Linked DNA regions of Tribolium castaneum. The main gene of each other region encodes a partner of the protein of the gene in region 3 in a complex. Links are inferred from orthologs where the notes say so. Each region holds a gene or a part of one and is shown on either strand. Other genes may lie near its edges.

Region 1 (2,902 bases), on a different chromosome or scaffold from region 3:
GGTTTCAAAAAAGAACTCGAGTAGGATCTCAAGAAAAATCTAGAGAAGAGTACAAAAACAATGCTAAAGAATAAAAATATATTGCGAGAGAAAAATTCTATACATAACTGTAGGACAATTTTGAAAAGATGCAGAGTGCAATCTAGGAGAGGTTTTGGATAAAAAAAATTAAAAGAGTTTATAAAATAATTTTGAGTAGTATAGAAAATAATTTCTAAAGAAGTATATGGAGATGGATTTATAAAATAATTTAAAAAGTTCCAATTTTAGGTTTAGAAACGATTTTTTAAAATATTTGAGACTTATTTTAAAAACAATCTAAAAAAGAGTAGACAAACAAATAATGCCAAAAAATAATTTAGAAAAATTCGAAACGAAAGTACAAAGGAATTTTCAAACAAAGCAGACCTAATAATTGTCTTAAAAAACGTGAAAAATTCGTGAATTTATACAATAATCGAAAGAAGAATCTATATTTCAGATCTAGAATTAGGCTTATTTAGGAAAAAAAGAAAAGAAAAGAATTAGAAAAGTATATGAAAAAAAAATCCAGAGAAGACTACAGAATTAATAAAAATTATTTGGAAAAATTGTAAAGGAAACTACAGAAGAATTTATAACCGAATCTAAAGATGTAACCTAAAGAAGATTATAACCTAATAAGATTATTTCAAGAGAAAAATTCTATACGAAACTGTAGAAGAATTTTGGAAAGATACAGAGTAGAATCTAGAAGAAAATTTGGATAAAAATATTTGAAAAAAAGTGTATAAAATAATTTTGATTAGAGTCTAGAAAATAATTCTAAAGACGTATCTACAGATACCTAGAGTCTCCTCTACAAAAAAATTTAGAAGAATATTATGAACAATGTAAAAAAAAGTACATAAATAAAATAATAATACAGACTAAAAAATAATTTGGAAGAATTTTAAACGACGCAGACAAGAATCTTAAATTTGGATAATGTCAAAAAAATGTAAAAGTGTTAATAAAACAATTTTGGATTTGAAAGAAGAATCTAGAGAAGATGGATTTATAAAATAATCTAAAGAAGAGTACAGAAAGCTAAAGAATAATCTGGAAGAAATTTAAACGAAACTAAAGGAAAATCTTGAAAAACTGCAAAGTAGAATCTACTACAGAGTGACTATTAAAGACTGTGACAAAAAAACCTATTAGTAACACTGAATTATTGGCCTTCATGGTGGCTTGTTATATTAAGATTTCAAATTTGTCACCAACCTGACAAGAATCGCAATTTTTGAATAATCACCTGGTAAAGAGAATTTGAATAATATTTGTGTATTTATTTTATTTACACTGTTTTTTGTCATTCGTAATTTGTGCAACATAAATATGGCATTTTTACTTTTTAATGTTATTTTTAATTAAGAGTAATTATTATTATTGGTGATTTTTACCAAAAAAATATGCAAGTGGTACAACTGCCAACACTTCAAATCACCTAGCAACCAAAACTGTCGCTAGGAGACCGTCAACTGTTTAAACCTTAACGATTATCAAAATTGTTAAAATGTTGGAAGACGAAGAAGAAGAAATTCATGGTTTTTGTCAAAAACTCGTCTTTTTCCAAAAAACCAACACGTTTTTTTAGTGCCTATTAATAATGACTTGGAGCGCAGAATTGCCGACGCGTTTGAAGTTTTCGACCACGCAGGTAACAAAACAGTCGATGTTCGAGAAGTGGCAACGATCGTACGTGCCTTGGGTTGTTGCCCCACTGAGGCAGAAATTCAGGAAATTTTGATGGCTGTTGAAAACCCCGAATCTCCCGGAAGTGTACACTTGTCTAATTTTTTACCCCACATGTCGCAAATCATCACTGAACACAAGTATCACCAAAATTTAATCGCCAAAAAACGAAATTTTCATTCGCAGGTATCAGCCTGCAAGTCCCGCGCAACTTTTAGAAGCGTTCCAAGTGCTAGATAATGAAGGTAAAGGTTTTTTAACAAAGGAACGCATTTCCACGCTTATGACGCAAGATGGTGAGCCCTTTACCCAAGACGAACTCGACGAAATGCTGGAAATAGCCATAGACCCACACACTCAAACTGTGCCTTATGAATATTACATCAATCAGCTAATGGTACCTAATTTTTATTTTTGCAAATATTGCACTACGTTATTTTTAATAGCACGAACCTGAAGGAGAGAAAGATATCTATAAGTTAGCTGATCGTGTTCTTGAGGAAAATCCACCTCCACCTCCTCCTCCTCCACCTCGAAGGCTGTCCGAGTTCCTGCATGATTTGTCCGTTCCTGAATTTTAAATTATAAAACACTCCAAACTTCCACCTTGTTTATTATTTAATCTTCTTGCTTAATTTACAATTTTGCGAAAACTGTATCTTTCTGTTTGGTAGCTTGGGCTACTGTTGCTGTTGTGAAGTCTTCACTTTGAAGCATTAGCTGATTCCATAAGGCCTGTAAGTAATGTGTTATTAATTTATTATTTTTTGCAGCTGGATTAAGAAACAAGCACTAATGGGGGCGCCATTGAAAAATAAGCTTAATTTATCTTCTTGTTATTTAATTAAGGCAAGTTTCCTTTTATTAGGTGGTTTCAGTGAACATTAATAAAGAATAAAGAAATATTTCTGTGTTGTTACTGATAAATAGTTACTCCTTCTGTTCGAAAATACGGTAGGTATAACTTTTAAAGGCCGGTAAGTAATTACCAGTGTGAGGAAATTTTAGGGGGTGGCCATGAGGCCACAACCGATCAGCCGACTCGTCGTAGCGCTCTCGCGATGTTCATATTTATCGATGAAATGGTCCGCTACAGCGTGTGCATTGGCGTAGTTTACTTGGGGTTTATACAATTAATGTTACCGGTCGCTTACAAAAATCTAATTAAAACATAAATATTATTGTT
Region 2 (4,265 bases), on a different chromosome or scaffold from region 3:
ATTTTAATAATTAAATCTAATCACTTAAATAAATGTGGTGCACGCTGCAGTAATCACAATTAATTATAATAATTGTAAAGAAAAGTTTTGGAGAGGACGTTGTTTTTTGTTAGCCAAACATTTTAAAATTTTATCTGAAAAAAATATGTCTGGTTCATTACTTAAATATTTACCAATGTCTCACAACACATTGTTGAATGATTGTTTATGGACTTATTATTACTATGTTATTGGTCATTTTCGAAAATTCTTGTTGCTCTATTTTACACTTGAATTATTCATGTAAATAGGCGATAGAAAAGAATTTATATTGTTATTTTTATTCTAAGGTGATTAAGAACGCGCAAAAATAGTTCCAATTAATTAACTGATCTGAATTAGCATAAATACATATGTATATTTATTTTAAAGCAACGATGAAAAATATTTCAACTACGTTTTGCCCATAAAATTATCAAAGAATGTGGGTACTACAGCGGTATTATTCCTAACTGTTGTGACATACATAAGAGATTATTGTACCGATAACGCAAAGTATTTTTTTAATAATAGGTTTAAATAGACAAATTTCCATAGGACCCCGTGAAGAAAGCATAAAACGTCTCAGTTGATAGCCTATGTAGAGTAGTATAAGTCACACCTATTGGTAAATAATTATAAACAAATTTGGTACGAAATAAAAACCACGCTGTAGTTGTGACAAACAAAATGTAAATGCAAAAACCTACACCTACACAGACAGCGATGACGAAGTACCTTAGAATTATTACCAGAAACAGTAATTAAACAGTCTGATGAATAGATATAGGTGAATCAGCCAACAAAAGTGATAAACAATGTAATCTAAACAATAAAATACAGTGCCAGCACCGGTTTCTAGTTCTATTTACGTTTTATTAAATCGATTTTAACAACGGAAAAAAATTAAATGAAATCCGGCAATGCCAAGCGGGACTCACCAATTCGCGATCCTACGGGCGTCGAAAAGGGATTTCCTCCTAATGCAGTTCCAAAAAAAGACATTTTTTATTTCTAAATTAAATTTCACGATTGCACTTTCTTGTTGTCACTTGACTTCTGTCACTGTCACTTGTCAAAACAAGAAAACACTGCGGCGCTTGCGCAATACTTCCGCTCCTAAATCTAAAATTTTCCGACGAAAATAACAATTTTATTTCAAACAAATAAACTGCATGACGCGCTTGTTGGTGTGTTAGTCACTGTTTTTCTAATTTATTGATCTTTTCATTCCCAAGTTGTGTAAACTTCTGAATAAAAAGACGTCAGACATGTGTCACGTGATCAAAAATTATACGAGGTGCGGTTCACAATTTAAAGTTCTTTTTTTATGTTATTTTTCCGTTCTTTCACGTAATATACTACCAAAGCGAGCATTTCTGCATTTATAACTGTGCTGTTGTCATTTCTTCTTTGATACAGAATACAACGTAATTTTACAATTTTGAGTATTTTTTTATAAGTTGCGGTATCAGCACTCGGCTTCGCCTCGACTACAATTTCGCAAACTCTTAATTGTAAAGATTTTTTTACTCCAAAAACCCTCTCTGGGCTATTTTTATCTACTTAGACGTTATAATCTACCTGTAAAGAGTTTTTTGTAATTGATATAATTTCACAATGAAAAATAATAAAACTCAAGAGCACAAGCTCGGCAAACTCAAAGATTCATGATTTCTCAAGTCCATAGCAACAATAAGGTACTTAAACAACAGTCATTGTGACATCAATAATTTCAAGAATGCTTGAAAAGGTATTTGTATCGATTTAGTGTGCCTAATGAAAATTTGTAAAAATGAATCCTTGTAAATTGAAAGAGCCAAAAGTAATAGACAATGCCCTTCTGGAGAAATGTATCAAAGACCAGGGCCCCAAGGGTGAAGCGGGTCGCTTGGCGGAGATCGAAAAAATCCCCCTTGAAGACGTCACCGAGATTCGCTTAGAATTTCTGAGTAACAATTCTTGTAAAATTTAAACCCGACTTTCTGTGTCCCTATCCGTAGATATCTTAAGAATTGACCACTTGTGGGTGCTGACATCTTTAACGAAATTAAATCTCAACAATAATTTACTGGAAAAAATCGAAAATTTGGAAAGTCTGGTGAACTTAACTGAACTAAATTTATCATTCAATAAAATAGCTAAAATCGAAAATTTAGACGAGCTTCGCAACCTTGAAAAGCTGAGTCTGTATGATAACGAAATCACGGTTTTGGAGAACATGGACACTTTAACAAAATTAACAGTTTTTAGCATTGGAAGAAACAAAATTGACGACTTGGACAATGTATTACGAAAAATAATTGTGTTCTAGAATACACAAATATTTTATAGATTCTGTATTTGCGACGATTCGGCAATTTAAAATCGTTAAATCTAGTGGGGAATCCCTGTGCCGAGGATGAAGATTTTCGTTTATTTATTGCAGTTTTTCTGCCACAACTCGTTTACTACGAATATAAATTAATATACGAGTCGGAACGGGAACTTGGACACGAAACTTTCAGGTTTCTAGCTAAAATTGTTTAAGTGAACATCAGTAGGAGAGTTTTTTAGTGCAAAACTGCGAGCATTGTTGGAGAAAGAGGAGAAGGAACGGGAAATCACTGCGATAAAGGAACAAGAGTTGGCCGATGCCGAACTTCACGCCTCTAGTTTCGTGGAGTATTTAAACACTCGCCATTTGTTCGACTCTTTATTTGCCAACGACACCGACGGCATGAACTTGATGAAAATCGGCGAAGACGCGCAAGAATTCTACGACGAGTACGAGGAGAACTTCATCGAACTGTGTAAACAAATATTCGAAAATGGGCAACAACAGTACATCCTGCGCAAAACCGAACAGGACCAGTTCTTAAAATGCGTCGAAGACGCAAATAAGGACAATCAAGACGAAAGCATTGTACGCCCCCTTTCGAATTTACTTATAGCCCCAAATTTCGTCCGTAGAAACACATGGAGATCTTCCTGGAGAAGAAGGCAATACTGTTCCTCAAAATCAAAAACGTGCAAAACCAGCTGAACTCAAACGAAATAAATTACGACGAGTTTATCGACAAATGCGACGTCTTCGTGGTGGAGTACGACGAGATGTTGCACGAAGTTTGGAAAGCGCTAATGAAACTGGAACTGGAACTTTACGAACAAATGGAAGAAGTCAACCAAACTTTCGAACACAACATCACAGAACTCGTTAATAATTTCATTGAATCGTCGCAGGCTTTCTTTACGCAGATCAGAGAGCTGGAAGTGAGCTACGCTGAAAATATCGGCGATTTGGCCACAAAGTTTCAAACAAATGCCAATTTGAATGAGGAAATCGAAGTTCCCGCAGTTCTTAAACCGGTAACTTCCGGCACTTGCTTTATTAATAATTTCAATGAGATTACAGCTTATGGCAGATAAGGATCTTCTGCACAACGCGTTGGCAACAAGTCACGATATGCACATGCAGATTATCGATGCGAGAGAAGACACTCTCATTTCGAACGCCAAGGATTGGCTAAATGATTTAATCGACGATTTAAACACGTAAGTTATGCCTTTACTTTTCCCGAAAAATATCCACAACTTGTAGGAATGAGATCAAGCGAAACAGGGGGAAAGTGCTGGAAATTAACCACTTTCTTGAAATCCAAAGGCAGGAGTTTGAGGATTTGAATAAGGAATACGCGCCTGATCTCAAGGATGACGTTATAGCCTTGGAATAAGTAAGATAGTAAAATATACTTTATTTTTACAAAAGTACTTACACATATTCTTGGTTTGGATAATAAATTTTACACTTCATTATATAAAAGAATATCAACTTATAATATCCTTATTTCTGTTTCTGCTTCAATGATTGCAGATACATTTCCAACCCCTTTTGCACACTGTCCTGAGCTACGTAATTCGCCACATATTCGTAATCTTTTTGGAGATTGTTAGTGAGGTCCTGAAATAAAAACTCATTTTTACAAAATATATAATTGAGCCTTAAATACAAAAATGCCAAAAAAGTCTATAAAAAAATCATAATACTAATTGCATCACATAATATGTTGAGATAAAAATATGTTTCCTTGGTGAGTTTCCTTAATAAAACATTTCGTTATATTTCCTTGCATTTTTAATAATGATTTTACCTACCTAGTTTTTGAAACTTAAAAAAAATACGGATAAATGCCAACTGATTAATTTCTGCAGAAAGATAGTACCCTCAACTTCTAGTATAAACTTAATTCGAAAGTATTACCAACAAT
Region 3 (3,281 bases):
AGTAAAAAGGTTAAGTCCAAGAGTGGTTAAGTCACAAGTGGACTTATTACACGAGCAGATAAACAATCTTTATTAATACATTGTTTCTTACATAGCAAGACTTCAAGTTTACGAAATAAAAGTTATTGTGCTTTATGTTTGTTGGAAATTCCACGCCACAGAGGTGAAACTTGAATTAAACGTAAAAATTCTAGAGTTTTAAAGTTATAATCATACTTAAACACTAGGTTAAAAATAAAATAAAATAAAAATAAAAATGCTTGGCACAACGTAGAATTAATTTCTGTTAACGAAAATATTATTTGGACTCGTCCGGCGCATCCACCATTTTTTAGTTTTCACGTAAATTGGTTTATCGTTACTTATTAAACGAGTTAATAAAAAGTTTTTTTTTATATACGAGTAAAAAGATTAAGTTCAAGAGTGGTTAAGTCACGAGTGGAATTATTACACGAGCAGATGAACAATCTTTATTAATACATTGTTTTTTCCACAGCATAACTTCAAGTTTACGAAGTAAAAGTTATTGTGTTTTAGGTTTATTGGAAATCTCATCTCCATAGAAGTTAAACTCAGATTAGACGTAAAAATCTTTATTGTTAAAGTTATAATTAAATTTGAACACTTGATTAAAAATAAAATAAAATTAAAATTAAAATGCTTGGCAGAGCGTAGAATTAATTTCTGTTAATGAAAATATTATTAGGACTCGTCCAGCGCATCCACCATTTTTGAATTTTTACATAAATTGGTTTATCCAATTATACGAGTCGATAAAAAGTTTTCTTTATCTACGAGTAAAAAGGTTAAGTCCAAGAGTGGTTAAGTCACAAGTGGACTTATTACACGAGCAGATAAACAATCTTTATTAATACATTGTTTCTTACATAGCATGACTTCAAGTTTACGAAATAAAAGTTATTGTGCTTTATGTCTGTTGGAAATTCCACGCCACAGAGGTTAAACTTGGATTAAACATAAAAATTCTAGAGTTTTAAAGTTATAATCATACTTAAACACTGGGTTAAAAATAAAATAAAAATAAAAATGCTTATCAAAACGTAGAAATAATTTCCGTTTGACGAAAATATTATTAGAACACGCCCGGCGCATCCACCATTTTTTAATTTTCACATAAATTGTGATTTACAGTTACAAGAGGTCAAAAATTGGAATTTTTTGATAAAATAACGAACTATGTCAAAAATTGCCTCCCTATTCGTTTACACTTGTTCCATTCGCTTCTCCAAAGGTATGAACGCAGTCGGTGACAAGTTCACCTGGCACATGTTTAAATTATCAGTGGGTGATTGTCAACGCTTGGGCAAATCCCTCCACTACTTAAAATCGCTCCGTATCTTGCGAATCCACAGAAGCAGATTAGAGGACCAACACGTGCGTGTCCTCATGCATGGCTTAATCAAAAATGAAACACTCGAAGAATTAGACTTGTCTCATTGTTTAATCGGGGATCAAGGAGCGCTTTGCATAGCTAAAGTATTATGTGTCCATCCGAAATTACGGTCTCTGAATCTCTGTGATAATAAGATTGGCCAGTTAGGATGCGAAGGTTTAGGTTTTGCGTTGTTGGAACCCGAGTGCTCGTTAGAGAAATTAAATTTAAAATTGAATCCATTAGGAGAAGGTGGGGCTATGGGAATAATGAGAGCTTTGGTCAGAGGGACCAAACTCGAGGAATTTTCGATGGCCGGTTGCCAGTTTGATGATGATGCTCCGATAAGGACGGGGCAAATGTTGCTCCTGAACAAGTCGCTCAAACGGCTGGATGTCAGCAATAATTGGTTTGATGAAGAAGGGGGTAATGTAAGTTGTGTTATTTTCACAAAATTTAAGTCGATGATAGACAAATAAGTAAAAAAATAAGTAATTTGAAAAAAGTTAGTGCTAACTGTTCAAGAACAAGATATTTTCAAACACAAAAAGCAATTAAAAATTAAACGTCGCATTTTATAAAGTTGTAAAATTGTTATTAATGATTAGACCTTTCATTGAAAGTAAAAATTACATTAGCTATTATTTTCCTGAAGTGCATGAATAATCTATAACAGCTAACTTTGAAAGAAAATGCAACGCTGACGTTTTTATAATTTTGAAATAGTTAATACAAATGATTTATTGGCTGCCAGATAATAAAGATTCCATTGTATTCAAGAAAAAAGTTTTTGTATGCAACCAACAATTCGCAACACTTAAAAATATGATGTAGATAGTGTAACTAATTTAAATTGTCCACTGACTCAAGTTCTACAAGTTATTAGTTGGTGGCTTCACACACCCTCGCATTAATTGAAATTAGGTCTGCAATTAGGTCAAATTAAATACAAATATTGGAGGCGACCCTTGGAATACAAAGGACGCCTAAAGTAAATAACATTGCGCTCTTCAATTACCAAAGTAGGTCCCGTGATGCATTTAATTATCGTCGATAAATCACTGCTAGATGCATTAATTGTATTATTTTCAGGCTCTTGTTGAAGGTATGGCTGTTAACAGGACTTTGGAATGGCTAGATATTCGGGAAACAGACATTACTTCTAACCAATATCATCAAATCAAACAATACTTGAAACGTAACAGACTAGGTTTGGAAGAAGTAAACCAAGTCCAAGAAGAAATTTCAACGGGACAAAAGGAACAAACTTCTCACAGCACTCTGTCCACACAAAAAACTGCGGAGAGTGGAAGTGTTTTGGAATAAAACACGTTTTTATGTCTGCGTTTTTATTTATAATATATAGCACATGTAACATAAATAGGAGACTAGAAAAATAATCTGTGCAACAGACGGATTCTACATTACGGTAACACCTATACTGGAATTTATTTACACTGAAGAAAGTAATTAATTCCACTACGATTGGCGTTAGAAATGAACAAAATGTATACATGTACCTTTCATACAAAATATTGAAACATTTTTTTACTAATTAATTAGAATAGATGGTAATAAGTCTTGTTCTTAGGAATCTTGACACAAAATTATATACAAATTATATACGATCCAAAATAGTGTAGGTAAATAAAGAATATAAAAAATAAGTATGAATAAAAAACAGTCACAATAAACAATGACAACGTAAGAATTGCACACCAAAGCTGAAAATGTCACCTAATTTTAAAACATTTCTACGATTTTGACAACATACAAAACTATTTTTAACACAAAAAAACGAAATAAAAAATAATATGTACACTACACGTTATCACCTTTGAGCAATTTTCAATATATCACTAAGTACAATCGTCAGGAATCGATAATA

The links.
Region 1: dynein regulatory complex subunit 5 (region 3) and dynein regulatory complex protein 8 share a complex: the UniProt entries of both Homo sapiens proteins name them as parts of the nexin-dynein regulatory complex. The link is inferred for Tribolium castaneum from reciprocal best matches to the Homo sapiens genes DRC5 and DRC8.
Region 2: dynein regulatory complex subunit 5 (region 3) and dynein regulatory complex subunit 3 share a complex: the UniProt entries of both Homo sapiens proteins name them as parts of the nexin-dynein regulatory complex. The link is inferred for Tribolium castaneum from reciprocal best matches to the Homo sapiens genes DRC5 and DRC3.

Annotation. Positions count from the first base shown.
Region 1 is NC_087394.1:7,333,030-7,335,931, forward strand, and holds dynein regulatory complex protein 8, read left to right. Parts: upstream 1-1,402; 5' UTR 1,403-1,537; coding exon 1,538-1,568; intron 1,569-1,618; coding exon 1,619-1,856; intron 1,857-1,902; coding exon 1,903-2,113; intron 2,114-2,162; coding exon 2,163-2,297; 3' UTR 2,298-2,319; downstream 2,320-2,902. Other genes in the region: delta(3,5)-Delta(2,4)-dienoyl-CoA isomerase, mitochondrial, read right to left, coding at 2,353-2,451. UniProt on the Homo sapiens protein: Component of the nexin-dynein regulatory complex (N-DRC), a key regulator of ciliary/flagellar motility which maintains the alignment and integrity of the distal axoneme and regulates microtubule sliding in motile axonemes.
Region 2 is NC_087394.1:30,246,537-30,250,801, forward strand, and holds dynein regulatory complex subunit 3, read left to right. Parts: upstream 1-1,438; 5' UTR 1,439-1,813; coding exon 1,814-1,970; intron 1,971-2,021; coding exon 2,022-2,305; intron 2,306-2,352; coding exon 2,353-2,525; intron 2,526-2,574; coding exon 2,575-2,923; intron 2,924-2,970; coding exon 2,971-3,366; exon of another isoform or gene 3,367-3,412; coding exon 3,413-3,552; exon of another isoform or gene 3,553-3,598; coding exon 3,599-3,731; 3' UTR 3,732-3,823; downstream 3,824-4,265. Other genes in the region: TOM1-like protein 2, read right to left, coding at 960-1,023; enoyl-CoA delta isomerase 1, mitochondrial, read right to left, coding at 3,842-3,958. UniProt on the Homo sapiens protein: Component of the nexin-dynein regulatory complex (N-DRC) a key regulator of ciliary/flagellar motility which maintains the alignment and integrity of the distal axoneme and regulates microtubule sliding in motile axonemes.
Region 3 is NC_087397.1:8,819,881-8,823,161, forward strand, and holds the end of dynein regulatory complex subunit 5, read left to right. Parts: intron 1-1,252; coding exon 1,253-1,824; intron 1,825-2,485; coding exon 2,486-2,719; 3' UTR 2,720-2,731; downstream 2,732-3,281. Other genes in the region: Dark (apoptotic protease-activating factor 1), read right to left, coding at 3,266-3,281. UniProt on the Homo sapiens protein: Component of the nexin-dynein regulatory complex (N-DRC) a key regulator of ciliary/flagellar motility which maintains the alignment and integrity of the distal axoneme and regulates microtubule sliding in motile axonemes.